4 linked regions of the Lonchura striata genome follow. The protein of the gene in region 4 interacts with the protein of the main gene of each other region in a biochemical or structural test. Links are inferred from orthologs where the notes say so. Each region holds a gene or a part of one and is shown on either strand. Other genes may lie near its edges.

What was found.
Region 1: the proteins of PATJ (region 4) and CLDN1 form a complex in vitro, tested with the Homo sapiens proteins (2 studies listed by BioGRID and IntAct, with this or other methods). The link is inferred for Lonchura striata from reciprocal best matches to the Homo sapiens genes PATJ and CLDN1.
Region 2: the proteins of PATJ (region 4) and TANC1 interact in a test that uses a peptide from one of them, tested with the Homo sapiens proteins (2 studies listed by IntAct, with this or other methods). The link is inferred for Lonchura striata from reciprocal best matches to the Homo sapiens genes PATJ and TANC1.
Region 3: the proteins of PATJ (region 4) and PKP4 interact in a test that uses a peptide from one of them, tested with the Homo sapiens proteins (2 studies listed by IntAct, with this or other methods). The link is inferred for Lonchura striata from reciprocal best matches to the Homo sapiens genes PATJ and PKP4.

Annotation. Positions count from the first base shown.
Region 1 is NC_134612.1:16,566,497-16,574,794, reverse strand, and holds the start of CLDN1 (claudin-1), read right to left. Parts: upstream 3,364-8,298; 5' UTR 3,273-3,363; coding exon 3,050-3,272; intron 1-3,049.
Region 2 is NC_134610.1:523,191-530,516, forward strand, and holds the start of TANC1 (protein TANC1), read right to left. Parts: upstream 3,364-7,326; coding exon 3,246-3,363; intron 1-3,245. UniProt on the Homo sapiens protein: May be a scaffold component in the postsynaptic density.
Region 3 is NC_134610.1:626,873-634,684, forward strand, and holds the start of PKP4 (plakophilin-4), read right to left. Parts: upstream 3,364-7,812; 5' UTR 3,279-3,363; intron 1-3,278. UniProt on the Homo sapiens protein: Plays a role as a regulator of Rho activity during cytokinesis. May play a role in junctional plaques.
Region 4 is NC_134611.1:6,614,983-6,622,320, forward strand, and holds the start of PATJ (inaD-like protein), read right to left. Parts: upstream 3,155-7,338; 5' UTR 2,951-3,154; coding exon 2,929-2,950; intron 2,846-2,928; coding exon 2,679-2,845; intron 1,129-2,678; coding exon 946-1,128; intron 1-945.

The DNA of each region.
Region 1 (8,298 bases), on a different chromosome or scaffold from region 4:
TGGGCCACCATCCTAACTCCCCTACCACCAGAACTGAGCATCAGTAACCTGAGCATGAACTGTTCCTCCCCCCCACCCATTCTCTTCCCCAGCTCCTGGACAGGCTCAGCCCGGGTGGTAAAGGTATAGGAGGGAAGACTTCACATTTCAGCCATGTTGCTTGACCCAGAGGGCATTCAAAACCTTGTTTATTTTCCGGGCTAGGGCACAAAGGCTCATTGTGGATGTACTAGGTTTGGTGATGAAGTGATAGATGAGTCTCAGCTTGTCTCAGGCACAGAACCTCTCCCAGCAAAATCAAACAGGTCGATGAGTATCTTCTGCTAAAACAGCCTAGACAGGATCCAGAACAACATCTCTCCTGAACAGGAGAATGTGTTTAGGTGGGGCTGGAAACTTTCAGTGACAGGTACCAGAAGCCCTACTCCCTCCTGTCTGAGACCATCCCCCTGAGACCCCGAGGAGCACAAAGCTGGGCTAAGCTCCATGGACCATGCTGGAGGGCCACAAGAACAATGCTGAGGCTGTGCAACAAAGCCTCGTTGCAAGGGTGGCATTTGTTGCCTCTATGTCTGCGTGTGGCCACGCACTGCTTTTCACGTAAGCCAGCAAAACGCAGCCTTTCTGTTGCCTGAATAGGAGCAGTGACATAAGCCCTCAGCTGAACACAGCTGCGGGAGGAGTGCCAGCACGGGTGCACTCCAGCAGGGTGCCCACATGGGAAGCTGGAGCCCTCTTGGTTGGCTAATGGTGCTCATCAGCTTATGCCAACCCCATCTCTGCCTTGCAGCCAAACACTGACACATCCAGAGGAATGGCAACAGCCACCAGATGTTCCAAAACTTGCTGGCAGAGCCTTCCAGCATTCCCACAAACACGAGTTACTGCAGGTGCAAGAAGGCTCAGTCCTTTCTACAGGGACAAAGTAATTACAGATCTGAGCCTTTCCCATCAGTGCATACGGCTCTGACATGCGGCCCAGAGCACCTGGGGCATATGAAGCCCTGGCAGGAAAGCATGGCTAGGCAGAAGTTCTACCCACACAGCTGTGCCACTTCCACCAGGACATGGATGAATACAGTAAGGGAGCTCTCCACTGCACCTGTCCCAGTGTTTGGCTGTTGAATTGGGTATAAGTGATTTGGGGTTTTTTTTTGGTTTGGGGTTTTTTTGGCACCTCCACCCAAATCAACACTGCTGGTCCCTACCCAGGCCTATGTAACTGCAGGAGGGACATCAGGAGGGAAAACAAAAGATAAGCTGTATGTCCCCAGGCATGATCTGCCTAAAAGCGGGCAAGGCACAGCCTAAGCAAGCTGAGGGAACACAAGAACAAGGAGCCCTTTTGCCAGCCCTCACCGATTTTCCCTGTGAGGATAAACATACCCTGTTATTTGAGAATTCTCAGTCATACTGTTCTGCAGAGCTCGGTGGCGAGAACAGAAAAGGCCACCACCACAAGCTCAGCCTGGGTCCCTGTCACCTCCCTCCCCTGTAGCCCTGGAAGAGAAGAGCCCGTATTGTTCGCAGGACAAAGGTGAGGGGAGCAGCTGGTTTCGGCCTCGGCCATGAATGGCCAGGTCAGGAGGGCCTGGGGCAGGTTTTGGGGATCCTGTTCAAGGCGGACTCCATTTACAGCACAATGGGCTGCACACAACCCCCGAGGCAAGGATACCTTTCGCAAGCCATCCAGGGGGTGGATGGAGATTCCTCAGCCACTGCTGGCATCCTCGCCCCCCACCCGCAGTGGGAGATAAGAGGATTGAAGCTGAGCTGACGCATAATTAGCACCCCAAGCACTCCGGACTGCCCCGATCAGCGCAGCCCCGCACCCCGCGAGTGCCGAGCGGGTGCGCAGCGCTCCCCGAGGGAGCGACCGCACCTCCGCCAGCTGCGGAGCTCGGGCAGGGACCGGGAGCGACGGACTGGGCTGGCCGCGAAGGTGGGTCCGGCTTCACCGCTGACACACAGGAAGGGCTGGTGGCAGCCGGACTCGGGGACACTCCCCGCGGACCTCGGTTTACGTGAAACTGCCTGCTCATTCTTTTGGGAAAGAGAAGGTGACCAAGGTGGCAATTATTATTTTATTAATTAGGGAGGGACGAGGGTGTACCAGGACTCGAGATGAGACAAGGGGTATTGAGAAAGTAGTACATTTGTTTTAACCCCTTTGGGTGCCCTCTCTGAGGCTCCAGCTCGGCTTGAGCACCCGAATGACAAGATAAAAGACCCAAATATTATCTTGGCATACCAGCCTGCCTAAAAACTCCAGACAGCGCTACCTGGGCAGGACGCCAGCTCACCTGCGAGCCCTCAGTTTAAAAGCCCCACGGGAGGACTTTCCCAGAGAACAAAAACCAAAACAGTCAAAGGCAAACAGGAGCCGTGCTCCAAAAGCCCACGCCAGCCAGGCTGCTGAGCTCTGCTGCCGCTCAGCCGTGCCCAGCTGGGCAGCCCAGTCCCTGGCTGGACCCCCACAGCCAAAAGCTCTCGCAAACACGGCGCTTTCCGGACCGCACGTAGAGAATCAGCGGGCAGGGCGATGCGGGGCAGCTCGGGTCCTGCCCGGGCAGTGCCCTGCAGCGGCCCCGCTCCCCTCCCGGGGCGGCTGTGCCGAGGGCGCCCCGCAGGACAGCGGGGAGCGACCCGAGCTCCGGCGGGGAGCCCCAAGAGACACGCACCCGACCCCGACAGGATGAGGAGTCAAGAGATGGGGGACCCCGAGCCCTGCACCTTCAGCCCTGAAGGGGCAGGCTGAGTAAATTCAGCGGGACAGAGCCCGTGAGAGCCGACAGCAGCGGCATCCCCAGCGCGACAGGCACCCGGGCGGGGCAGACCACACGGACGACGGCGACAGGACACTGGACGTGCAACAGGACTGGCAAACCCAGTCCAAATATTTCATCCTGAACTTGGACGGGACCGACCCGGCGCGGGGCAGTGGCCGTGCGGGAGCAGTGCCCTCCGCCCGGCCGGAGCGAGAGGCGGAGGGGACGGCCCCGACGGGACGGACACCCCGGCACCCTCACCGCCCCCAGCCCCAGCTTACCCTCCAGCTTGAGCAGCGAGTCGTACACCTTGCACTGGATCTGCCCCGTGCTCTGCATGGCGCACGACATCCACAGCCCCTCGTAGAGCGCCTGGGCCGTGACGATGTTGTCCCCCGCGTAGGATGCCATCTTCCACTGGGGCATGGCGGTGCTGATGATGATGCCGATCCAGCCGAGGAAGGCCATGACGAAGCCCAGGAGCTGCAGGCCTCCGCTGGCCATGGCTGCGGCCGGGGGCGCTGAGGGAGGCACGGAGGGAGGGAGGGAGGGCGCGCGCCGCTCTGCCCCGCGCGGCTCTGCCGCCCGCGCGCCGCCCCGCGCGCCTCTTGAGCCCGCGCCGAGCGCGCCCCCTGCCGGCCGCGCCCCGGCCCCGCCCCGCGGGGGCCGCGCAGCCCCGGCCGCGCCCGGCAGCGACCCCTGCTCTCCTTCCTACCCTCCTTCCCTCCCTCCTTCCCTCCTTCCTACCCTCCTTCCCTCCCTGCTCCCCTCCTTCCCTCCTTCCTACCCTTCTTCCCTCCCTCCTTCCCTCCCTGCTCCCCTCCTTCCCTCCCTCCTTCTCTCCCTCCTTCCTACCCTTCTTCCCTCCTTCCTTCCCTTCCTGCTCCCCTCCTTCCTTCCCTCCTTCCTTCCCTCCTTCCTTCCCTGCTTCCCTCCTTCCTTCCTTCCCTGCTTCCCTCCTTCCTTCCCTCCCTGCTTCCCTCCTTCCTTCCCTCTTTCCCTCCCTCCCTCCCTCCCTCCTTCCTTCCCTCTTTCCCTCCCTCCTTCCCTCTTTCCTTCCCTCCCTCCTTCCTTCCCTCGCCGTCCCGCACCGCCCCTCCCTAAGGAGCAATGATCCCTTCTGTCCCCCCACGGGGCGGGCTGCGTTGGCACCCCGGGGTGTTTTGGCACCTCGACAGGGTGCCCTGGTTGCCCCCTCCTCGAGCTGAGAGCCCCACTCGCCTTCCTTGGACTGGCAGCCCGCTGCTGTCCTTCACAGGCTGGCGTTGCAAGCTTGGCTCTCCGTCTCTCCCGGCGCCAGCACAGCGGGCAGGGGAGTGGGGACAGGGCCGTGCCGGTTCCACCTGTCCCTGCTCTGTGTGACCCCCTTCCCCAGCCCCGCTCCGTGCCGCGGGCAAGGCAGGGGGGCATTTCCCCCGGCAGATTCGCTGCCTGCCTCCTGGACAAGCAGCACACGTGGGATAACCAGCTACAGAGCAGGAGGTAGAGCAGCCACGGGAATTATGAGTGCTCTGATTTTGAAGGGCTTTCAGAGAGGCAGCTGTGCAAACACTCATCATCCACGAACAAATCCAAACTTTTGAACCTACCATTTTAATAAGGACAGTACACCTCTGCATTACTGGGAGAAATTTCACTTCAGTGATTTGCCGGCTCAATAAGGCTTATTGAACCAGGGGATTACAGACCAGGAAGGAGTGTCCTCTGTCTTGGGTGTGTGTTTGCCCAGTTACTGTAGTTCCCCTTTCTCCTGCACGAATATTTGAATATTGACGCATCTGGACTCATAGCAAGCAAAGTGAGGAAATGATGTCTCCTTCAGAGGTCACAGCGTGGGCTGGGTGGTGCTGCCCGCCCTCACCACAGGCTGGATGGAGGGGTCCTTCAGCCTGGACCTGCTGTAATCCCAAACTCTGAGATAAACAGGTGATAATTCCCGATAAAGGTCCTGCTGGAGGTAGGGATGGGGTTGCATTGTTTTGACACCGTGCTTTGCTGCATTCTGATGACTTAGGAGATTTTGCTGGAGCTGCTTCCTGAGATTTGCAAACGGACAAACAAACAGACTCGTGATTACCTGACCTGTCCTGTGCAATGTCAGGGGGGTCAAAGGGGAGAAAAGCCACTGCAATCTTGCTCCACCGGCCAGAGACAAAGCAAGGCTGGTTTGCTCTGAAAACACTTGTGGCTGCAGGTCTCCGTGTCCAGGCAGCAATGCTGGTGTGATAAAATCCACCCCAGTTGCCTGGTAGCAAACTTTTCCAATTATGTCTTTATTTTTATATTTTTTTTTTGACTTTTGAAGGATTAAGGAACTGTGATTCTGCACATGAATAAATGGTGTTTTCCTGTGTCTCTGTGGACCACAGTTTTATACTTCTGGGAGTGAAGAAGAAGAAAGCAACAAAGTTTTCTTTGGCAATGCAGAAATAACAAAGTAGCTTAGTTTATCTGTGTATTCATGAAGAACTCTGATACAGGGAGCAGGGAAACCAGCATGGTGCTGGCTGTTGGAGCTGATTCCTGGCAGGAACCATTCCTTGCCTGGTAAAGAGGCAGGGCAGAAACTCATGTGGACCTGAGGAGAGCGGAGTTAGGAGTGTCTGGATTTGACCATTGGCATCTACGTAATTGTTTCAGTCCAACAGTGTCCATTCCAAAGGAATGTGCAGTGTTCCTGGTGCTTCAGAGCACTGAACTCATCCCTTTCCCAGCCCTCCTGCCAGCCCCTACCCGGACAGATTGGGCAGCTCCTCACTGACTCCTGCAAGGTGCAAGGTCAGCTCTGGACAGGGTTAAAAGTTACCGAGACACTTTTAGAAGGTTTAGATTCTTTTGTCTGCAGGCTCTGAGCAGCCAGGAGGGGGAACAGAACCATTCTGTATGGGAAGGTCTTGGACTTTATACTGAACCTTCTAGGAAAGTACAGGGAGGAGTCCTGGGTACCAATGATCTGATTGCACTGGCACTGGGAGGCACATCAAGACTGATCTTGGGGAAATGCATGCAACCAACATGTGATGCATGTTGCTGCACCCTGACCATGCTGCTAGCTCTTGGATGGACTGAAATTCATGGCCACTGTGTCCTTGGGAAAATTTGGCTTAGGATTTATCTTAGAATTTATCCTGGTGGCATTCTGGGGATGGTTTGTGCCAAAGCTGTCTGCAGTGTGAGTCTGACTGCTTGCTCATACGTAGGACAGCGTTTGTGCTCAGAGTCTTCCCCTTCCAGAAGGACATGGAACTGAAACTGGAGACAGCAATATTCTGTGAGGATTACTGTGGAATTGCAGCCTACACCTGCCTGGAGATGGATGCTGTGCTCCTGAGGGGCTGTGCAGCCATCCCATTGCTCCTCTGTCCCTTATGGTGCTGCACTGGGCAGTGCTACTGGGTGACAGAGTGGCCTTGGGTCAAACAAAGCCATTGAAAGGCAATCAGGACACATGTCCATGTGCTCTCAGACCTTCTACAGCCCTCATGGGCTGCAGCACAAGTTGTCAGTGCTTTTTTGACCACTGAACATCCCTGACAATCTGTACACAGAGTTTACGCAGTCCCCTCATGCACAATGCCAGCCTCATGAACACCCAATTTGTATTTTGCTTTCTAGGGACAATTTAAGGTTGATACTTTCTATTCATGTTTCATGAAAGATTTCAAAACCCAGAAACTATTTCTGTGGAATCATCACAAGGAATTTACATAGCAAGATAAACACTGAAACTCCACTTTTCCCCTTCATCAGTCATCAATGTTCTCAGTGCTCTGGAATTTGCAGAGGATTTTACAGTATCCCTGAGAGAACCTAGGCTCCTCTTCTGAACTTCCTTCCTTTATTTGAGTCATGAAAATCTGATTTCTTTTCTTGGATGATTTTTGACTCTGTCTCAATGGGCAAAATAAAACTTCTTTTTATTCATAATCGCTGTCTTTCCTTCTCTTCCTGAGATTCTTTTGGGTTTTTTTCCATTGGAAATCCCACAGACTTTTCACTCTATTTTCACCTAGTTTTTATACCTGATTTTGGGAAATGCCATTCCTTCAGACCATTAATCTTGGCTGAAAGACCTGAGTTTATCCAAGATGTTGCAATCTCCTCTGTATTCTTTAGGCTAAAGGTACTCCCTTAGTGACAGTGTTTAGTGATTGTCCTGCTCTTAAAGTAAACATGCAAGTTGAATTTTTGTCCTTTACAATAGCATGACCAAGTGAGAAGAGGCGTGTGTACAGACAATCCCTGAAATCAAACTGGGTTATTTCTGTCTGCAGGTAGAGAGACTCCTCTAATTGTTCAGAGAGATTGCCCTTGTGTGCCACAGCCCTGCCTGCACCGGCCAAATGCTCAACACCTTGGTCATGTTCTCCCTTAGGGGGTGTGAGTCAGAGCTGTACTCAGCAGAGATCTCAGCTCTGTGGGTAGTAAACGATACCTGTTTCCTTTTCTGGCAAAAACAAGCTTTAACACTTGCCAGGACTTGCAGGTTGAGCAGCCTGGTTTCCTTCTCTCAGACATTTCTCGGGGAAGGTCTCACGGTGCTTGCCTGTGTTTGGGAAGCACAGGCTCACCTGTGCTTCTCTGTCCTTGCATACACTAAAGCTTGCCCAGACTCTCCTGAATTCATCCTTGAGCTGAAACTCGTGTATAAGGGTAAACATCTGATTGTAAGTCATTATGAGTATGGGCAGGTGCACAGAGCAGCAGGTGTGCAGAGCAGGCACAGCTGCATTACTCTGGTCTCAGAGTGAAGGCACAAGCTTCACAACCTGTGGGATGTGGGAATGGCCAGACAGCAGCACTCCAGCCCATGTTTCTGGTGGCAGCTGGTTGTAGAGCCAGGAAATTATGCAAGAACAGTGACCCTTCCCCAAAATGTGTTATAGCCCACTCTGATCCATGTCTGAATAAATCTTGAGGCGGTGCCAGTACTTTTGTCTTTAATTTTGTTCACTCGATTCTCCTTTCATAAATTCAGCTGTTTGGTTTTTTAAACTTCTGGCACTTGCAGCATTCTGCAGGAAGGATTTTTGCAGATTTACTCTGTACTTCACAGGAAAAGTGCAACACCTTGTTTCTTTTGAACTCTGTGACTTGCTGTTTCATTTGAAGTCCCCAAGGTCCTGGAGGAAAAGGGCAGGCTGGTACGACCACATGTGCTTAGCTCAGGTTTACATTGTCTATAAAAACTTTAAAAAGACTTCGTTGTTTATCTGTAGGCTGCTTTTTCTTCTCTCTCTCTCCCACTTACTCCTCCATCTGTCCAGCAGAAACACCCCTGCTGAACCTTAGCTCCAAGCTCTGTTTTGCAGGCAGCGCCCAGATGTCTTTGCCCAGATGTCAGGAGGATCTAAGACCTCTGCAAATCTTCGCTGGGATTAGTCAGGATTGTGTCCAGCCTTGTCTGCAGTGAGAAGCAGACTGTGTTTGACCATGGTGGCAGCTAAAGCAGCCAAAGATCACAGCTTTCAGGGCTGGAGAGAGCAACAGCACAAGGAAAGCTTAACCCTTCATCTGCTGCTCACTCCTG
Region 2 (7,326 bases), on a different chromosome or scaffold from region 4:
TGCTGCTTGAGGCATAATTTTTCCAAAAGTGACATTCTTACGTGAGAGCCTTCCATCTGATCAAGGTAGAAGCTATTTCTACAAAGACATTCTACCACTCTTCAGCAGAGCACTTCAGTCTCTCTCTCAAAGTATCAATACTAGTTCCTGCAACCTTCTTTTTCAAGATAACCCTGAATTTAAGAAGCCATTAAAACCTGCAATCAACATTCCCAGCAGCTAGATTTCAAAAATGTTACAGCTTCAGTTCTTAATCCCTTATGTCAGGACAAATGAGAAATTCTAATATTAAAATCCACATAAGCTACTGTTAAAAAAGTTAGAGTTATTTCTTTTTGTCCTTTAACCCTTTTGCACTTTTTAATATTACAGCTGTGCCTGCCACCAATCCAGAAAAAAACACCACCATTCCTACTCGCACTAGTTCCACAAGCCTACCAGCTGTAAAACCCATAAAAGAGAGTTAACACACAAACAGGAAGTTCTATTCAGTAAAACAGGAATCATCCCACTCAGATCTAAATTACGCAGACTTCCAGGCGTTCCTTTCGTGCAACCCATGGGACAACTGGGGTTACTTCAGTTTAAGAATGATCTCTTAGCGTTTAGCATAAACTCCTTCCAATTTGACTTCAAATGGTCACATGTGGTAAAGGCATAGCTGCAACTCATCACCCTGGTGTCCTTCCTACGCTGGCTGGGTTGCCCACTATGACCCATGGAGATTTTACTACCTTCTAGCTCCTCAGCATCACCCCTAAGCCATGAGTATACTGAAAAAAGACCATGCAGTCTTCCCAGATGTGTTCAAGGTGGCCCTACTGAGATGCACTGTCTCCATCCTCCCACATTCAGAAGCTCTGAAAAATTTTTTCAAAACTTCATAAGCAAGAAATCAAGCCCATGTGCCCACAGAGCTGAGAGAAGCATCAACATTTACTACTGCAATCCTCTCTCCAACAGCAGTTTGAAGAATGGCCATCGCTGGGGTGCATTTCTACTCTCTTCAGAGAGCAGGAAATTTTAAGCTGTTGTTGCTATTCCATATCCAAACAGCCATGAAGTGGGAAAACTCTACAATCAAAAAAACCCTTCAGTTTCTCCCTGTTTTCAGTTTTAAGACCAGGGAGATGAGTGAGCAAAAATAAGCTCTACAAAGACCAATGTTCTTTGCCTTGCTTCACATCTTTTCTAAAAGTAGAGAAATGTCTTACAGCTGGAAGAATTGGAATGTCCTTTGGAACAACAGAGAAAGCTAATAACCTGGACATAACTTTACAGGAAGACCTGGCATAACACAGAACAGAATAAAATGCACACATCTCTCTTCATACTTTTCACATCTTCAAATACAAAAAAAAACCCCAAAATCTCTGAAATCCAATGTATCAGTTATTTACTTCCTTTTAAAAAGCTGCTCCTGAACTCCTCCTTGCTCTACCTCTCACCAGTCAGGCACTATTCACCAATTTTTCCCAATATTTGGTATCCATAACATCTAATTAATGACACTCTAGAGCTCTGCTTAAAAAAACAACAAAAAACCCCAAACAAATAAACAAACCTACCAAACCAAAAATTAAACCAAAAAACGTCCCACACTCTAACTCTTCTTGTGCTGCTCAGAAATACAGCAGCATTATATTTGCAAAAACATAGAAAAATCTTCCTTTCAACACATTAATACAGACAGATGTCATAAGATCCAAAATAAAAAGCCATGCTTTCCAACCTACAAGAAAAGGTTTTTTCCAAGCTTCAGATTTTAATCAAAGCCTGGTCAGAGCTCCATTCCAAACAGCCCAATTTTCTTTTTGAGTCAAAACCAACTTCCAACTAGTACTTTAACAAAAAAATGTACCAGTGAAAGCCTCACCACAGGAATCTTTAGCCCACTCTGTTTAAACAGCCCCAGCTGGTAACTTCAAGTCAGCAGCACACACAAAATTAACAGGATGCCTTTCGTGTTGCTCTGTGATTATTTCTGTGCATCTCCGATCTAGTGTCAATGTTTCTTCTAATCAACATAGCTCCCATCATTCAGTCATTTAGAAAGGAACTGTGACAGAGTGAAAACTTCACAAGACCACAGAAATTTCCTGAAGAACACCACATTACCTGCCAGATGAACTCAGAACCAGTTTTTGGAAAATAACAGTGAAAATACCCTCCCCTTGCCGGACTCAGTGTAACTGCATAGTTTTAAAAGCTGCAATGCAAGACATGTATGTAACTTGCTTTCCAAAAAAACAGCATTGTGTTGTTTTAAAGGATCCAATTTTATACATTTAAGACGTATTTGGATTTATTTGTATTGCACTCTGGGAGTAAGAAGTTCATGTTGCCAAAGAGTATAAATTTACTCCAATGTATAATTCAGGATCAAACTCTATCAGAAAATCAGAAATGTTAGACTACATCAAAAGTCTGAAGTTAAAAATGTAACTCTGAAAACCAGGTCACTTTCACTCAAGTCCAAGAGCTTTCCAGCCACTGCAGCAAAGACTTCAGCACGCCTGGCACAGAGCAGGCAGGTTTATCCCAATCACCAATACCTGCACATCTACAGCTACTGCTTCTCCTCAGCAAGCACTGCTGGGCCTTCTCTGCCCTTGAAAATGGCAACGACAGCTCTGTTACCGTTCTTCCTGGAAGGCAATGCAGGTAAGTAGTGGCCTACTAAATATATGGTTAATAGTAAAATAAGTTTTATTTTGATAATGATTACTTTTATCTTCCAAAAATCTCTGTAGTTAAAGCAAAAACCAGAACATAATAGAAACCTGATAGCCAGCTAAATAATATTTTCACAAATTCAATAATTTTTTTTTTTCAAAAGACATACATAATAAAAATTCTATTGCCCATAATACATAACCAGTGTTGAGTTTTTTTGTAACACAACAAATAAGCAGTTTAAAGTGCATTTCTGTGGTCGGGAGGCCTGGCTCCAGGCTGGGTAGGAGCTGGCAGCACAGCACACACAGCCTGCTCTCAGTGTCTCTAGGGCAACAAGCACAACCAACTGCTCTCCCCCTGCTGCCTGCTGGACATGCAGCAATAAATGCACTGGAGCCACCTTCCAGGCAGGTGCAGACCTGCAGCTCCTGCTCCCCAGGCAGCAGCTGGGGCAGCAGACAAGAAGATGCCCCTGGGATGGGCACTGCTGCACCAGAGGATGGACAGTCCTGGGTTTGCAGTGCCCAACTCACCTGGGGTATAAAACATTGCAATAATATTCATACCTGACTCTTTCTTGGTCCCCTTGCCACCCTCTCGGCTCTTTTTTAGAACGGCCTTTAACATTTTAAATGTTGCTCCTGGAGAGTAACAGAGAGAAAGAAAAATAAATGCAATGTCCATTCACACAAGTCAAAATAAAGAACAGGATCAATACAAAAAAAACGAGGTAATTATGAGAGACCTTTTGGTAGTCACATTTATTTCTTACAGTGTCACTTGGTTGAACAAAGTAGTGAAACACAAGAAACGCTTCAATACTTGAACTAAGCAACTAAGAGTTTGCTGTCTTCTGATACAGAAAAATAATGCAGCATTCTCCACATTCCACATCCACTTGCAGTTACAGGGCTAAACCTGAGTAAGCTGCGGTAGGACACTCCAGCAAAATAAACTAAAATCAAGCTCTAACTTCTGACTGGAGTTCAGCAGCCTGACTGGCAGTAACGGGAGCAGGCTGACATCAGCTGGGAATGCCAACTGCAAGACTGTACAGCAGGGATAACAGCAGGACAGGGTACCACCCCCACCTGTGCCCACACACAGCACACAAGGGAACTGAGGAACAAACTCCTCCATCCCCACAACGCTTTCTGCCTGCCACATGGCACTCTTAACAGTCAACCTCAAGTGAGCAACAGCTGCAGATTTCAGAGAAGTAAGAAGTATAAGAAAAATGTATTTGGGCTGATAAACCTGAAAAACAGTTCTTTCACAGAAGTAACTCCAGTTACAGAGCAAGGAAAACAGAATGGAAGGAATTATGAAGATCACTTCTTTCTCAAAATGCTTTCTGGGAGCATCTGAGAATTGTGATTTCATTTGTTTTCTCTATTGAAAAAATCAAAAGGTATCTCATTTAGAGAAAACTTTCAGTACGGAATGTGCAACAAGAAGGGGGGGAAAAAAGTAACCTGACTATGCTGTCTTATGTAACTGACTGCCATGAACACCACATGAAATCAAAAGGAAAAGCAAAAATCTTCCATCCAAAAACTGTGGATTCCTCAGAAATTTCTCTTCATTTGATGAAATAAAACAGAGAAAGAGAAACCAGTACAATAGAATTGTTCAGCTCCTATGAATAACCTGAAGCATACGGAACTAACAACGCCCAGAAGCCTGGAAGGTTTCCAGGGCCCGGCTTGCTCTCCACCAGCTTCGCACAGGTAACAGCCGGGCACACACGGGCTGTCCCCATGCAGGCAGGGCCACCCACGGGCACAGACACCTCCATCCCGCACGCTGCCAGGGCCAGCAGGCTCTGCAACATCTCCAGCTGCTTTTCCCCAAGGATGGGAATTCATCAGCCCTCTCCAATTTCAGCATCAAGAAAATTGAAAAAGCTCACAAACACACGCCCAAAACTGGATCATCTAAACAAAAAATGAAATACACTAAAAGGAAATAATTTTTGATTACTAATTGGATACAAAGCAAAATAAATGTATCAAAATAACCATACAAAAACCAACTGCCATGTTAGAAAGCCTGCATTATGCAACGGTAGGACCTAAAAGTGTTAATGAATTTCAGAATCTAAGAAAGGTATTTCAGATACATAGCTAGAATAGAGTGGCAGGGGGAAGAAAAAAAAAAGGAAGACCTGAAAAGTCACATATTATATTTAACTTTCTTATTTTGCAAATCAGGAGTGAATTTTCTATTAACCAGGACAGACAGGCTCCATATAGAACTGAAACTCTACAGTATATGTCATTCCTATTCTTAGAATATAGATAAGGGTTAATGAGAGACCAAATAAAAGGAATCAAGGACAATTCCATCCCAGATTTTCTCTTTTTTGGAATTGAGGCCAATTTCCCTACTGTGCAGAGTTCTCCACTGATCTAACACAGAACACAACTGGCATGCAAGATGGTTGCTTATTCAGACCACATTCAGTGTGGATATGAAAAGTGCCTACTACCTGGAAATAAAGCCCACTTCCTTCCTTTTCCCCTATAAAAGGAAATGCCAAAATAAAGATAAGTACCTCCAAAGCAACTCACCTTTTGCTGTGTGAGTTATGCACACAGAGAGAGCTAACCCTAAGGGCTGCAACAGCAAAGCAATAGCAGCTCTTTGTTTGCAAGTTGAAAGGTATAAAAAAAATAAAAAAAAAATAAACTATCTTCTGAAGTAATGCTAAAACCACCACCTGGGGTCCAGTAAAACATCATTTGCATTCCAGAGCATGCAGGTGAACACAGAGAATGAACCAATGATTACAGCTTAGAAATACTTTAGTGTTACTTAAAAAAAAAAAAAAAATATATATATATATACCAAAGTTATTTGTGCCTACTGCGATGCTTATTGACATACATCCAAAAGCATTTCAGTTTCAGTATTTCTTCATACCCATAGTTCACACCTCAATAACACCAATTAAAGTGAACTGCAATAGTGTGCATTTATAATTTCTCATCCCTTGAATCAGGCACAAGATAGTAAATCTTGTTCTGTTTTAAAGATAACTGTATTAATAGGATATTTTACAGTAATGCTGGCACACTGTCTTTCTAAGCATATTGCACTTTCTCTCCCCTCACAGCTAAGATGAAGTAGAAAAACTCCCTGACTCAGACTTCAGGAGCCCTTTCAGCTACTCCAATTGCTTCACTTTGGTAAACAACTGCAGTTCATGTTTTCTTAATTCCAATATTTAAATTCTGCCATGAAGCCACTTTTTTGGTGTTTGTTGGGTTTTTTTAATAATTTTAAAACTATAATTCCCATTTTAAAATGGGTATTAGATGTGGACTTGTTATCCCAGAGTGCTAATAATAATGTCCCAACAGAACTCCTCTGCTTGTTGAAGACCCTGTCAGCTGCTGACAAAGGCGGACTCCCAGCTTTGTCCAGACCATTTTCAAATGGATGCTGTGCTCCCACCAGTTCAACTGTTTTCTTTAGATGCAGAAGACATTCCATACATGCTTCCTGCTCAGAGCATGAAGGGAAAGGGCAGAAAGTCCCTTGATTTGAGAATTTATAATGATCAGCTTCTTTATGAACAACTCCAAAACACTGTCAGCTTGGTAAAACACAAATTTTAGGTAATGAAAAAGTCAGGACCACAGGCACACAAAACAGTTCATGTATCAACCTTTATAAGTACTTCATTACCTGAGGAATCCCTCCTCTGAAAAGCAGAGATGGAAAAATCTCTCCACATTTTCACTCTGCCTGCAAACCTCTCCTTAAAACTCAGCAACTTTCTTGCATGGGAATGTGTTCCATGTAAAACTACCACTGAAGACAACAACATCAGGAACAAGATGATTCACAGCTCTTGTACCTCCCTCACCTTTTGGAGAGGGTTATTTTCAAAGATCTACCAACAGGAGCTCATCACAACTGCAGAGGTCAAATAAACTAATCCCACATGGCAGGTAAGCACCTGAGCTAATGCCCATGAACTCCTGACATTTACACTCCTTACAGTACTACCCACAGCTGTGTTCAAGCTTCCAGATCTAGATCCTGAAAACCAGTCAGCATTCATTTGCAAAGAAATACAGGGTAGAACACCTTAGTCTACTGTCTGCACAGAAGTACTTAAGTATTTGCCACCTTTCAGTGTGGAATTTATTAAACACATACTTCCAAATAATCTGTATTTTTTTAAAGTGTATTTTGCATTTTTGAATCCAAAGATTCAAAAATTTGAATCCCAAAATCCTAAGCATTGAAAGAAAACTTCAATTCGTCAGAACCGCTTTCACTGCCTACAAACACATTCAGAGTGTTGTTCTATGTGTCACACAGAAAAGTTCCAACATTTCCCTTTTCTGGCAAATTTAAAGCCCAGATTTCAAACAAGAGGAATATACAGCAAAATGCAATACTTAAAGGAGCAAAGTATTACTGATGCAACAAATCAAGACAGTAAGTAAAAATTACTACATTTTGGGCCATCAATATCTAGCATTTTGTAATAAACAGAGTATGTATCCCCGGATATGGGACTACTAATTCATGAATTAACAGACATTGTAAGAGAATAGTAGTTTTACTTTTAAGGTACAATTTCCAGTGAGATATATGCGTTATGATGATTCAAATGCATGAGCAAAAATG
Region 3 (7,812 bases), on a different chromosome or scaffold from region 4:
CGCAGAGGGGCAGGCTCCGTACACGCAATGGGCCAAGCTCCTCACACACAGAGGGGCAGGCTCCGCACACGCAGCGGGCCAGGCTCCGCACACGCAGAGGGGCAGGCTCCTCACACGCAATGGGCCAGGCTCCGCACACGCAGAGCGGCAGGCTCCTCACACGCAATGGGCCAGGCTCCTCACACGCAGAGGGCCAGGCTCCGCACACGCAGAGCGGCAGGCTCCTCACACGCAATGGGCCAGGCTCCTCACACGCAATGGGCCAGGCTCCGCACACGCAGAGCGGCAGGCTCCTCACACGCAGAGGGGCTGGCTCCTCACACGCAATGGGCCAGGCTCCGCACACGCAGAGGGCCAGGCTCCTCACACGCAGAGGGCCAGGCTCCGCACACGCAGAGGGGCAGGCTCCTCACACGCAGAGGGCCAGGCTCCTCACACGCAGAGGGCCAGGCTCCGCACACGCAGAGGGCCAGGCTCCACACACGCGCTCCTGGAGCAGGGTCCCAGCCCATGGCAGCCCACCAGGAACGCTCCCTGCTCCCAGACCCTGCCCTGCTCTTCCACGCCATGAGCACCCAAAAACAAAAGAGCGCAGCTGCTCATCCGCATCACCTCCACGAAACCCACCCAGACTCACTGATGTGACTGAGCATGACAGAAAAGCAACTGAGAGCAACACAGACTATGGCCACTAACAGGCTCACTACTCTGCTTTTCCAGGCAAGTATCACAAGTTCTGCTTGCTTTTCTAGGGGGTTTTCCTGTACCACGTTACACTAAGTACTAAACCTGATACTAAGTATATTACCCTGGTACTAAACCAAACTAGTCTACTGTTAAGCTCACTGAACTCCCTGAACTCGCCACTACTTTCCTGCAGCAAATAACCAGATGTTGCAGGACTGGATTATTTTCAGCACCACAATTAAGAAAAAAAAAAAAACATAACAAAATTTCCCATAGATTCAGAACTGCTTTTGCTCTTCATCTGTACTAAATGTATTTAAACAATCTACATAAAGTGAAGCAGAAGTACATGAAGTACTTATTTATGTTTTCTGTTCATTTAAAATGCAGCTTTTCTCCAGAGTCTTTTCTCAGTGCATGTAGGTTTCCACACTAAACAGCAAACACACAGTACTAATTAAGATTACTATTATTTGTACATAGTATATGCTATCACCGAATATGAAAAATACCTCAAAATGCACTACAGACCCTGTTTTGCTATTGCAAGAAGCTTCTATAAAAAGGCAATGTATCCTACAACTTTCCTTGTTTACACTGTGTGACTGAATTTAACTGTTCTTTATAAAAGGATCCTGCATTACTATTGAAAAATGCAAACTCCAAAAGGCATTATCTTTTGACGATCTAAGAAAATTTAGAACTAATTATCTCCCCTCATAGAAGATGACTTGCACAAAACTTTGTCCAACTGTGTTTCAAAGCAGAACTTCTGGTATCAGTACCGCTATTTGTGCTGAATATCTGACAAGATGAAAGGGAAAAATAGTTTTTACTGGAAAGGAAAGGGGCTATCAGCTTTTCTACCTTAAATTAAAAATATTAATAGCATCTTATTTCAGCAGCAATAGAGAACTTCATAAGCAATTTCAACAGAAAAAGAAAGTTACTGCAACCTACCTTTCCGCAGTAAGGTTACATTTACTTACATATAACATTGTAATGTTTAACAGAAACATTACAGGATATAAATGCCAACAGAAAGCTTTTGCCCCCAACACACACTCCCTCCACTTTGAATACGATGAACATGACTGAATTACTGTCTCTTCATAAACTAAACAGGCACATTTAGTGGGTTCCCATATATATATCGCAATGAACAAACTATTTTATGTTGACCTCAGAAATACAGTTATTAGTTAAGGGGAAAACATTATCATCTTTGTCATCTCTTAATCACTAAACTCCAATTTATCAAAAATTGACAATGCTGAAAAAACTGAAAAGCCAGTTCATGCAACACTAGTGCTCTCAATCCAACCACACCTCTTCCTTCAAACAGTCGAATCTGGAAGCAATGACTAATGTAAAATTAACAGGGAGCGGGAGGCTGTTTAGGGGAAAAAAAGTACAAAGGTCTATGGGGCAAACAGAGGCACTTCAGAAACACTCAGTTGTCTGCTTGTGAACACTGGCGATGTCTCCTGAGCGTCAGCCGGGAGGAGAAATGGACTAGAGGGGGCTTGAGTCATCAGCTCCAGTTTTTCTGTGTTGAAACAGCCTGGGTTCAGCATCAGCATTTATTTTATTGCGGCAAGACTTCATTTCCCAGCTCTCCCAGCCCAAGCCACGGCACTAGCACTCGGTAACCGGCACCTGCAGAGCACTTTCTGCTCCCGCACACACTGCAGCGCGCCCGAGGCACGGCCAGCCGGCGGCACGGCCACCTGTCCCCGCGGGCCACGGCTGTCCCCCCGCACCCACACCCCGCACGGGCTGCTCCGCGACCACCCCGCGTGTGTGACCGGAGACGGGGGAGAAAACACCGCAAGAAGTTCCTACAGCCTCGAGAGCCGCGCTCCCGGTGCGCGGGCCGAGGATGCTCCGTGGCTCCCGGCAGCGGGAGCGCGGCTTGTTCTGCGGTCACACGAAGGGTGAAAAATTCAGATTTAAGTCCCGGGCAGGGAACACAGGGACGGCAGGGGGGTCAGGCACCCCCGGGAACACCAGGGCAGCAGCCGGAGCCGGGGACTCCGGGGAGCACCGGCGCGGACGCCGGGCCCCGTGGCCGCCCCGTACGAGCACACCGGGAGCGCAGGGCCCGGCGCTGCCGGCTGCCCGCGCCCGCTCCGCCGACCCCGCCATCCCCTGCAGCACCCGCCGTGTCCCCGCCCGGCCCCGCGCCCGGGGCCGTGCGGCGCTGCGGGCACGGCGAGGCCCGGCGGCCCTGCCCGCTGCGGCTCCGCTGGGCTCGAAGCTCCGGGCGCGGCGCCGCGCACACCTCGCGCACACGGCGGGCACCGGCGGGCCCGGGCTCCGCGCTCCCGCCCGGCGCCCGGGGCAGGGCGGTGGCACCTCCGCCCGCGGGGCCCCCTCCGGGCGGCTCCACCGGGCTCCGGGCGGCCCCGCGGGCGCGGAGAGCGCGCGGCGCGCCGCCCGCGGGTCCGCCCGAGACGACGGCTCTTCGGCCCCGATGCCCCGGCGGGGTCCGCCGCCTCGCCTGCCTCGCCTCCCGCGCCGCGCCCCGCCGCCCCTCGCCTGTCCCGCGCGGCGGCCCCGGCCCGCGGCCTCCCCGTGCCCGCACTCACCGCGCGGAGCGGCCCCGCGGCCCCGCCGGGCGCGCCCGCCCTACCCCGGGGTCTCCATGGTGGCGGCCCCGCCGCCCGCTCCGCCCGCCCCGCCCCGCCCGCGCAACGCGTCACGCTCTGCCCGGCCCGGCGGCCGCCCCCATTGGCCAGGCGCGGCCCGGGGGGGCGCCCCATTGGCTGCTGCTCCGCGTTAAACCCGCCAATGGTGGCGCGACTTGAGGTTGCCGTGGTTACCGATGCCGTGAGGGGGAGACGGCGCGGACGGGCCGGGACGGACCCGGGCCGGGACAGACCCGGGCCGGCTCCGCCAGGACTGCCCGTGGCCCCACCGCCGTGAGCCCTCGCGGTGAGTGTCCGAGCGATGGATGGACGGATGGGTGGATGGATGGATGGAGCACAACCGGTGCAGGGTGCCCGTGATGGCCGGGCGTGCCTGTCCCGCGCTGCCGGCCGCCTCCTGTCCCGCCGAAGGAGGAGCGCAGAGAAGAGCAGCCGGAGTTCCGGGGGCTTTGCCGGGCCCGTCTGCCCGTCACCCTGTGTCACCGGGATGGCCCTTCTTGGACAGGGAGCTTGGACTGGCCGGCCGCTCGTGGTCCCGTCCCGCCTGCCGCTCCTGTGACCGGCGTCGCGGTACCGGCAGAACGCACAGCCCGCGGCGCTGCTCGAACACCTGGGCTAACTCCAGGTGTTTGGGGACGATGGGGAAACGCTTTCCATAGTGTTTTAATTTCCCACCATTTTAAGCTTCCAATAGCAGCCGAACTCTCTTGATGGCGTGTGAGGAATCATAGACGTCGAAAAGAAAAGCCAGTATCCCTAAAATCGCCGTAAAACATTTCAATAACAAGCTTTGGGCATGTTAAATGCTTGATCAATTTTTTGCATCCCATACCTGACCTAGACTTACCATCTCGGTGTGTCTCGGGAATCTGACTGGGGCCATTCCTCTCCTTCCAGCCTCCCGAGCAGATCGCCCCGGTGTAGCCCAGGTGTGACTGGTTTTCCATTTACTTATTCTCTCCTCCCACCCTCCAGCCCTGCAGGTACGATAGCGATCGACACTCTCCACTTCATGGGACGGTGTTGTAAATGGCTCAGAGGAGCCAAAAGCAAACGGCCACTTGAATCAGCAGCTCTTGCTGGCTCTAGAGGTTGTTTTATTCACCCTCTTCCCCTGTTGTATAGATGCAGATGGTGTAGAAATCCTGCTGTGAAGGAACGTGAAAAAGGTATCCACATGTAACTTGTGTCTGTTTTCCATCCAGCTCAGTTTTTCGGTTTACTGTTTGGTGGGGTGAACCACAGTTTTATTTTAGGCGTGAGGACACATGAACTCGTGTTGTGGTTTAATTGGTGCTGTGCTGATGCTGCAGTTAGAATTATGTCCTTGTTAGCCTCTGCTTAGGAGGGAACTGCAGGTAACAAGGAGGAGGTAGCTGAACATGAGAGTCACCTCTAAACTCGTCTGCCCCTTCTCTTAATTTCCCACTTGGGATGTAATATACTACATGGAAACTATTGGTAAGATATTTAATCTCTGAGGTTTTTGTTGCTATTTGTATAATTATTTATCTGTTGAATAATGCAATAGGAACTCCTACATTATGATGATATCCACATAGTAAACACTTGACAGCTGTAGCCAGGAGTCTTGAGTCCTCACTGCTCTGAAAAATCTCATGGTTTATACCATGTGAACTGCATATAAAATATGACGAAACTAAAATGGTGGTCTCTGTCTAGGAAATGGGAAACAGGAGCTGAGGGAAATAACAGTAGAAACTTAGTAAAATAGAGTAGCAGTTGTGAAATAAAATAAGTGGTGGAAGGGTCAAATGAGAGTGGAGAGCTGGAGTAAAGAAAAGATAAAATGTGAGTTAACTTGATCATGAATAAAGGGAAGAGAAAGCATAGGATGTGTGAGAGCTGTGACCTTCCTTAGCTGTAAGGTTGCTTCTACCAAAGGTGTACTGGATTAGTTAAATTGGCTTCAAATCAGTCTCAACTGGTTTTCACATGTAATTTGGGTATTATTATGCTGGCTTGGCTTTCACAGGTAACAGCTTTTGGGAAAGGAGGAAGCTTACTTGCCCCTCAGCAAGTGAAACTGTTCCTGGGCATCGCTGTGGGCAGGATGCAGGAGGTGGCACAATGCCATCCCCAGGCCTTCCTGGTTCTGGTGGCTCCAGGTGACCAGGAACAGGCTGCTCCAGGTGCCCTGCATCCCTGCGCAGCCATGCATTGCAGGCTCTGGCTGTGCTTTAGAGTTCCCCATTGGGGTGAGCTGGAAAAGGGTAAGAAATGCTGTTGGGAAGGAGAAAGGGATCTTGAGTCAGTTTGTTTTGGCACAAGAGAAGTAGAAAGAATTGAAAGTAATGTTTTGAGGTCCTGTCAGATTTGGAAATATGCTGAATGACTGTCAGTGAGGAAAAGCTGTTTCATTCTGTCTGGTATTAGTCATAGCCTCCTAGCTGGTTTGTTTTGGCACCCTGAGCAGCCAATACATTATCTAATTGACTGCCGTGTGTCCCAGTGCAGCAGTCCTGTCCAACAAGGATGACATAGGCTATGGAAAGGCACCCCATTTTAACTGTCCAGTTAAATGTCTAGCAAAGGGCTGCCTGGATGGTGATTCTTTGATTCCTTATCCATTAGCTGAAAGTGACCTTTGTCAAATATATGTTTAAATTCTTACATAATTTTTTAAATCGGCAACAAACAAGTCAATTTTATTTCTTTTCATCTTCTTCTGGATGCAACTTGCAAGTAAGATGGTCTGTATCATTCTCATTTAGAAAGCCATCATTCCACTATGTTTACAATTCATAGCAACCTAGTCTCATACTTTCCTTTGGGACTGTATGGTTTCTCTTGAGCCTTAAATCTGACCCTTTAAACTGACTGTGCTCATCTTCCTGTGGTTTAGATGGCAATGCTGTTAACAGATACTTGCTAGCTGTTTTTGCTGCTGTTGTGCTTCTTCAGTGTTTCCAGTCATTAATATGTTTTTCTGCTTTGTTTAATCTAGTCTGAAATCAATCCATAACAGAGTCTTGCTTTTTATATATATTCCACAGATGCTTACAGCCCTTGCAGAACATTGACATGTCTATCTTTTAATTTTAGTGATAAATATCAGTCACAAAAACAGTTTGCTATTTTTCTTGGTGGGTGTTGTGTTTTGTTTTTCTCATTTATTCTACTTTTTGTTTTGTTGTTGTGAATTTGGTTGGTTTGGTTTTGGGGGGTTATTTGGGGGAGGCTGAGGGCTGTGGTTTGGTTTCTGCTGGAAGCTATTTAATGCTACCTGCTTTAACTTTAATCTCTTCCAGATACTGAAATTATGAAGGTTTGGGAAAAAAAAAATACCTGGCGACAAGAGTGATGCTCATGGCAGGCTAACACAACACATGAGCAGCTGTTTAGTGCTCATATGGGGAGTTACTTAGATATGTGGGATTTTTGCATCTTATTAAAACCTACAATTTGATTTCAAAAAAGTTACTGCAAGCCATCGTGTTGATGTCACAGCAATACAATTGATTTTGGGTAATTTTGAAACTGTAGTTTCATTTGGTATAGAAAGCACTAAATGTTTTCCTGCTTTTTATTGTTTAACTGGGGAGGTAAGGCACCTAGCAGGTGTATTTCTGGGTTAAGGGGTGGGCTGGCATTTTGCTTTTTCAGTGAGGGCTTGTGGTAAGCACATTATAAACTTACCACAAGGCTTTTATAGAAACATTCTGTTTCAGACAGTGCCATTCAAAATTACTGCTCTGCTGTGGATAGATATTACTCTTTCCCTGTGGTAAAACAAAATATTGAGGAAAAATTATTGGATACTGGCCGGTTGTTTGCACTTTCTTTTCTTCTTGCATGGCTCTGAAGCATCAAGTAGGAGTATCTGATTGTAGATGGTGCACAATGCTCAGCTTGACCACCGGCCTTCCTTGTAGAGCCTCGTGCTCAGGCTCATGCCCAGCTGCCAAGGGAAGGACAATAATGCCCGTTATGATACTTCTCTCCAGCTTTCCAGTGCCAGCACCAGGATCCTGCAACAGTGCAGGGAGCTGCGTTATGGAATGGATCCAGCTTCCCCAGAAGCCTCCCTGGCACACTTGCCCTTATTTTTCAGCTGGATCCATTTTCCGGAGCACACCGTTGCTGCCCATAGTGCCTGGACCAAGGAATGTGCAAGCAGCCATGTGCAGCAGGAGTGCAGGCTCCTCTTTTGGCAGGAGTGGGAAAGGTTTTGCCCTGGATACATGTTTCAGCAGGATGGAAGAGGCTTGAGGAACAGCAGCTTGCTGACCTGCAGTGTAGCTCAGGGACCTTTCCTTGGCAATTGCACAAATCCTATCCCAGGATACTGTTTCAGCTGGCAGCATGGTCCCAGGAGTGAAGGTGCTGTGTGTGGGGCAGCAGGAGAAGGGATGTCCTTAAGTGAGCTGTGCTGCTGAAGCCAGCTAATGATGAAATCGGGTTTCATCAGGTGTCCACCTGTAAGTCAGGGTTCCTCCAGGATCCTGCAGCA
Region 4 (7,338 bases):
TCCCTTGCTTTTAATGCTGGTTTTTAGGTGTGCATTCAAAAGGCTGCAGCTTTTAAATAAAGAAGTTAATTTCCTCCCCCTCCCTGCAGCTTCACACTTAATGCTAAAAAAAGTTTGCTTTTGCAACTGCCTGTTTTTCAGTTCTAATACAAAATTGCTGGGGTTGTTTACTGGGAAATATTACTGGGAAAATGCACTGCTATCACAGCTCTTTTATTCCAAATAACGTGCAGCCTTTACTGCTAGATCTTATCTCTGATGAGTTAATGACACACTAATGAGAAAAGTAATGCTCAAAATATTACAGCTACATTAAGGTAGTCAATTAGCAACAGTTACTTAATATAGAAAGGCATGACTAAGCAATTAAATTAATGGTTCAAAATAACACAGAACAATACATTTGTGGTATAAATGCCAATCCCACACGGGTAGATGTCTGCACCTGTACAAATTCTTAGGGAATCTGGTACATCTGCATCTGCCTGGCAAAGTTAAGAAATACTAAATAAAGAGTTAAATAAAATATTGCATGCTAGTTTTTTTTTTTTTAATGCTTTGCACTGTTCATAAAGTTGGTGCATTTCCAATTTAAAATGTACTTGATAAACAAGTGCTTCCATCAAAACAACTTTCTGCTGAAAAGGTCCGTTTTCAATTAAGTGTCATCAAATACCAAAAATGTTTTCTGGCAGCTGAAATTTCCTTACTACATTGGTGTGTTTGGTAGAAAGTAAAACAGAAAATTGGCAATGGAAGCTAAAGAAACAAAACAAGCCACCAAGCCACTTCCTATTGCTGACATTATCTTCCAGAGGGAAAAGTTCTCAACAGTTCTACTCTCCTGGCTAGGAGGCACCACGCTTCCAGACACACAGCAAAAAAAGCAGCGTGAAATGCTCCAAAATGAAAAACAGTTTGGTTCACTACACCTTGGAGCCTTACCTTTGCCATTTGCTGGATGATCATGTTAAATTCATTAACTGCCAGGTTTGGAGTGAAGGCTGATGCTCTGGGTCCAGGTGAAGAGCAAGGTGTCCCAGCAGTGACTGATTTGTCAGCAAACACCAACAGCCCCCTCTTGGTAAAATCAAAATCCACCGAGCGGTCCGGAGGCATGTAATTGAGCTGTTGGAAATGAACAAAGGTGTGGAAAAGCTACTGAAAACAAAAGAAGGGTTTTCCACAAATACCATTTTATATGCAGGCTGCCAAAGGAGCAAAAAAACTGTGTTCACATATGCCAGTTCACACAAATATACTCACCTGTATAAGTCAGGCAGCGTTAATATATAATCTATAACCAAGCTACCACATCAAATTTAAACTGTTTTTCAGGAGTTCTTTCAATAATTCAGCTGTGTTTCTACTCCACTTATTTTCCTCTGTTTCTTTCATGCTTCTCCCCTGCCCGTGCCCCTTATCCTCTTTTCCCCCTGGTATTCCAGAAACAACACATGCAAAAGCACCAAACACTAAAGAGCACTGCTGCAACTCTTAGGGAAACCTACACAGAATTTTGGTACAAAAGTTCAAATATTTTGAGTCATTCAGGAGCCTGAGGCCTGGTTTGTATTATCCTGTCCCCAAAGAGAGCCTAGGGTACAAACTATCACTGAACATGTTATCTCTGCTGGAACTTGCACTTCTAGTCCTCACTGATAATGAAGAAATGAAAAATATTCCCAGTGTGATAAAATAAACTAGAAAATCCTACCCTGAAAGAAGCTGCCCATGCTTAAACAGAATTTCAAGAAAGTCTAAATTTTCTAGATATGAGAATTCTGAACATTCCAAACACAAACCCCACTATGTCACAGTCACTTCTTAGATACATTTGCATTTTCATACATTTTTCTAACAGACTGCAGACATGCATCCAAGCCTTGGAAGGAAGGGATGCAGCACCTGTGGAGCTTGGGAAGGAGGGATAATGAATGGCACAGCCACCACCAGGCCAGCCAGGCAGGAACACCTGCAATACACCTGGCAAGGGGCAGCCTTGTCCCCCTGACACCCACCCTGCTGGTCACTCCTTGGTTTTCAGTTTGCTGAAACTCAGCTGCAGGGTGGCACCTGTCCATGCCCATGTCCACAAAATCAAGTGTCACTTGGCTTCATAAACCAAAGCACGGAAGTTCCAAGCTCTGCTGAAGCCAAGTCATTTTAAAACTCGCTTGGGTACAGCTGCATCAGAGCTTGGCAAATCTTCAGGCTGGGTTTTCTACACTTCACTTGCCAAAAGCAGGTTAAGCATTCTTGTAAAAATTAGAAGGAACTAAGTGATGCTGTCTTTTAGGGAGGAAAAAATGCTGCCAGTGAGCTGATAAACAGCACTTAGCTTCGGTGAAAAACAAAGGATCCCAGTTCCAGCACTGTTCAGGACTCCAAACACCGGAGCTGATGTCTTCTGCAGATGTTCTTTTCCAACACAACCCTGCCTGTGCTGCATCCCTTTCAGAGCACGTTGCCCCACGACCTCTTGGTTGCAGAACCACTTCTCTTTTCAGCAGTGCCTCTGCAGACACCACAGAAGGAAAAAAAGGCCCAACACTCACTAACACCACGTTAGAACTGATTAACGAGAGCGCCCTCGTTAACACACGCCTACACATCCAGATCCAAGCTCCACTCGCCCAGAGTTAGCACCACACCAACAGCAGGAATTTTACACTCACTTGCTCCTTCAGCTGCTTGATGGATTGCTGCAGAGTCAGGATCTGGTTGAACAAGGGGCTCCTGAGGGTGTTCCTTAGGACAGTCAGGTTTTCCTGGTGTTGGGAATCCCTTTTCTCCTGCAGCTTTGCCTGCAGCCGATCCAGGATCTGCAGCACCTGCTGCTTATCTGCACCACAAACGGGTCCAGGTTAGCAATGGAGCTTCTTTCCTCATTCAAATGATTCAAAGAATCATTTTCAGACCACGTACCTGCTGCTGGATTTTCGGGCATGTTGAGGGTTTTTTTTGGAAATTGATCAGAATAACCTGAGTTTTAAAAAAAAAAAGAAAATCAAATTAATTAATGATAGATCTAAACAGAGCTATCATTTATGTTACTATGTTACTAAAGAGTAACATTTGATAAATGCAAGAATACTAAGCTAACTACAACAAATTTAATAAAAAAATACTACTACCCCTGTTATATACCTGTATAAATATATTTAATATTAATACCCTGTATTATGTGTTTAATACCCCAAATATTTAAAAAAGCTCTCGACATAGCCTCAGCACATCCTAAAATTTTATCTTGTTCCATGTGCTTTTCCTTTCACACACAGGAAGGAATATGAACAGATATTCCAAATATGAATAAAAATGCAAGCTATGAGAAAAAACTGAAAAGAAAAACTGAGACAGATATGTTCAACCAAATTATTTTGAATATTGACATTAAAGTTGGGATCTTCATAGATGTACACAGAGCTGAAATCTACCTATTATTTAAAGATACTTTCCACCTGATCATTTGTAGACAGTATTCCTGATAGTTCAGCCCAGCTGGATGGCAATATAGGTGAAACTCTGTTTCCCCATAAAACAGTGAAGTTCACTCATGGGACAGCACAGAGTTAAAGCCCAAAATTTGGCATATGAATCCCTGTTCCAACACATTCCTGAGGAAGGTCTGTTCTAACCACAGCCTGATTTACAACAGGTGAAGGAAGCCTCCTGCAGGTGTTTGCCTTTCTCTTTTCTACATACATGAACAGCAAAATATCCTTTATTAAGCTTTTAAGGAGCGGAATATCCTTTATCAGGCTCCTCCACAGTGCCAAACAGAACAGGTCTCCAACAGGGGCCGAGGCCTAGATGGCAGTATAAAAACAACAGACTTGCAATTAGCAGAGATGATTAATTTGTACCCTTGTTTTCATGTTATTAAGTTGATGTGGAGCCTGTCATTCTGAAATCTATCAAGGCAGCTCTACCAAACAAGTTTCCTTCACTTAGTACAAGCTCCTCTGAAAAAAGTCAGCCATTTAACAGCACAATTTACATAATTTTAATTCTATCCAGTATATAAGTGTGTAATTCCAGAATAATATATTTGGAATTATTTTGGAACAAGACTTGCCATATCCCTCTCTCTATATAAAAGCTTTTTATTTATTTTTTAGTCTTGCAGTTCAAGAGGAGCGAGGGTCATGTGGTGAACGTGACACCAGGGTAAGCACATTCCAGGGGCTCTCTCCCAGCAGGACCTCTGATCCTTTCAGCCCTGCCTCTGCTCACACTGAAAACATCTGGAATTCTGGGAGGACACTGTTATATTTACCAAAATATTAATGATGCAGGTGAGTAGCTTTCCTTCTTCTGCAGAGTCAGGTTAAGTTGGTTTACCTAATTGGAAAAAAGAAGTGGATGGAGGAGTGTCACAAACCACAATTTCAGATTTATGCACCCTTTCCTGTGCATATCCCAGCAGCTTTGGCTCCTGCAGGAATTCCTGCAGAGCTCAGTGGGTTTGTGTGGTTTCCAGGGCCAGGCAGAATGAGTCTCTTTGCAAGACTCCTAGGAGATTTAGGAGGTCATTTTATATCAAACTCATAGCAAGAGTTGAAGCAGCAAAGCCATACAACCCCCCTGAAAGATTTTCAGGAATGCATCTGCACTTTTGGAAGTGCTGCAGCTTTATTTTCTTTTCCATTCGAAGTAAAACACTTCTAAAGAGCACAGCAGCCTTTGATTCTGTGCTGAGAGCTGATTCTGAAGAGCAGATGAAAACATCATTTCCTTACACACTCCTGAGCCTTCGTTAAACCCAGAAGACAAAACTTAACCTCCTCAACTGAAAATATGGCACGAACCTTAACAAATCAGGACAAAGAACAAATTTCCATATTCTTTCTTCCCAGTTTAGCTTCCCTCCATTCACTTTCCTCCTCTGTTTTTCTACCTCTCATCAGCAGTTAAAAGAGGAAAGTGAGCGAACCAAAAGGAGAAAGGGATGGAAAATAACTCCAGTGAGGAAAAGTGGCTTGAAACACCTTTAAACCAGCAGTAGGGAGAGGAAAAGATTAAACCCAGAGAAGAAAGCCAGCATGGCAGGAAATAACGACGACCTGACAGCAACATGCCCACCCAAGAGCCAAAGCAAAGAGGCTGGTCCAGCTCCCCAGGCCTCTTTCATGCATTTATTCTTCCCTTTTCACTTTCCATCCAGCTGATCCTATAGCGAGCTGGAACAGGGAGTTAAACACTCAGAAAGAATCCTTCATGTTTTGGTGGCGTGAGCGTTGTGCCAGTCAGCTCTGAGCCCATCCCCAATCCACATGTTGAGCTAACAATCCCCAAAATTCATCTTTTTTCCTTTGCTGAGGGTGTAACAACAGCAATTATCCAATACCCGAGAAAATTTGAGATTTAAATTTTAGGAGAAGAATTATAGGTAAGAGATCTTGGCTCCATCGAAGCTGAAGTTCCCCAGAGAAGGAGGTACAAAACAGGAGGAAAAAAAAATTTAATCAAAGTTTCAGCTTCTTGCTTGAGCTGCTCCAAGTGTCCCTAAGAGCCACTTGTGCCAGTGGATGCCCAAGTGGATCTCAGGTGTTGAATAACAGGTTAAGTTTACACAGCACTTTGGGGTTCCTCGTGATCAGAGCTGCCCTCCAGACAGATTGCAATTTTTTTTAGGTTTTTTTTTTTGTTTGTTTGTTTGTTTGTTTTGTGCAATGTGCTAAAACCATACTCAGTATTTCTTTATTCTCCTTTCTTCCATAATAGATTGGGGGGCGGGAATTAAAACAAACAGCTCCTTCTGGTGTGAAGGGATCCCTGAAAATACAAGCTAATTTAGAGTTTTCAAGTAATGGATAATTGAGGACAGATCTCTAAGACCTGCTTTTGGGCACCAGAGAAACTCATAACTCGATGTATTATTGATCTCTATGTTTAAGAGCCCAAACAATTTATCATTAAACACTTTGCAAACACACTCTAAGTCCAGGCAGAGTGTCAGCAAACAGTTGATATATTAGAAAGTCTATTCCTAGATGTTAATTTTGAAGAAAGATCCAAAACACTTTGGTTTGTCCTGTTAAAATCAGTTCATGCACTCCACTTCCCAGCTCCAGTCTCCAACTCCTATGGAGGCTTATTTATCTTACTGGAAACCTCAGTTCAACATCTATGTCACAATTTCCAACATAACCACAAAATCATCGAGAAAATGATGTATTTCAGGAGGTTGAGTGTTTTGTAACCCCAGGACAGCATCCATCTGGGGTTCCACTGTCTTCACTTCTGAGAGCTGAACTCAACGCATCTGAGGGAGTGGGAAAGCTTCCGAAGGTTTTGTATGAAATCCCACCCAAGACTTGGATCTTCTTCAAAAGCAGCACAAGGAAAAAGGAATTCCTTCATGCTGGTGCCAGCAGAGGGTCATCAGAAGAGCTGAAAGGTTTAAGTCTTCCATTGCCATCACCCCCCTGTCACTTGCACGGGGACACGGAGCGCTCAGCCCTGGCACATCCCAGATCCCAACATCCCACCAGCAGCCTTGACAAACACCTACCCTCCACAAAGGGCTGCTGGATGCTGGAAACTCCACAAAGGGCTTTGCTGCTGGAGGTTCAGCCAGCAGAGATTCTTCTGCCTGTTTTCCCCACCCATCCACAACCACCTCTGCCCCACGTCCTTCAGCCTGGCCTCCAACAACCCTTTCCTGCATCCCTCCAGGAAAAGTCCAGCCTTATGGGATGTTCTTCCCCCCTCAGCCTGGCTGGAACCTTTGGGGATATTAAAACCCACAAAAATCCTAACTAACTGCTGCTATTTCTCAAAGGCTTCTAACACAACCAGCCTCAGCAGCCAAAGGGCTCATCCCGATCCAAAGTCACCTTTCTGCACTAATGCAGTTGGAATTTTTCCTGGCCCTGTTATCATGAGTGACTAATACAGTGCATGTCATCCTCCACATCACAGAGACCTCTGACTTGGAAAATTTCAGTTTAAAAGTTGATAAAAGCAAAAGCAGGGGAAACCAGCATTTGTTAGTGTGATCTTAATCCTAAATTGTCCTAACATGCCATCAGCTGAACTTCAGATATCCAAAATTTTATTGTTTACACACCATCAAGTGACTCCACAGTGTAAAAAACACTATTCTAATACGTGTTTTGCTCAGTTTTACTGAATTTTACTGAATTTTAGAGAAAAATTCAGTCAGACCAAGCATAGCACATACACATCCTTCCTCTGAAACCACCTCTGCTCTGTGCAATGCTGCAGGATTTACAAAAATGCTGTTGAGCACACACTGACTGCCCCAGGCACTTGAAAGAAGGAAAAAAATTGCATACTTCTGTGAGTACCTGAACACTGATACACCGC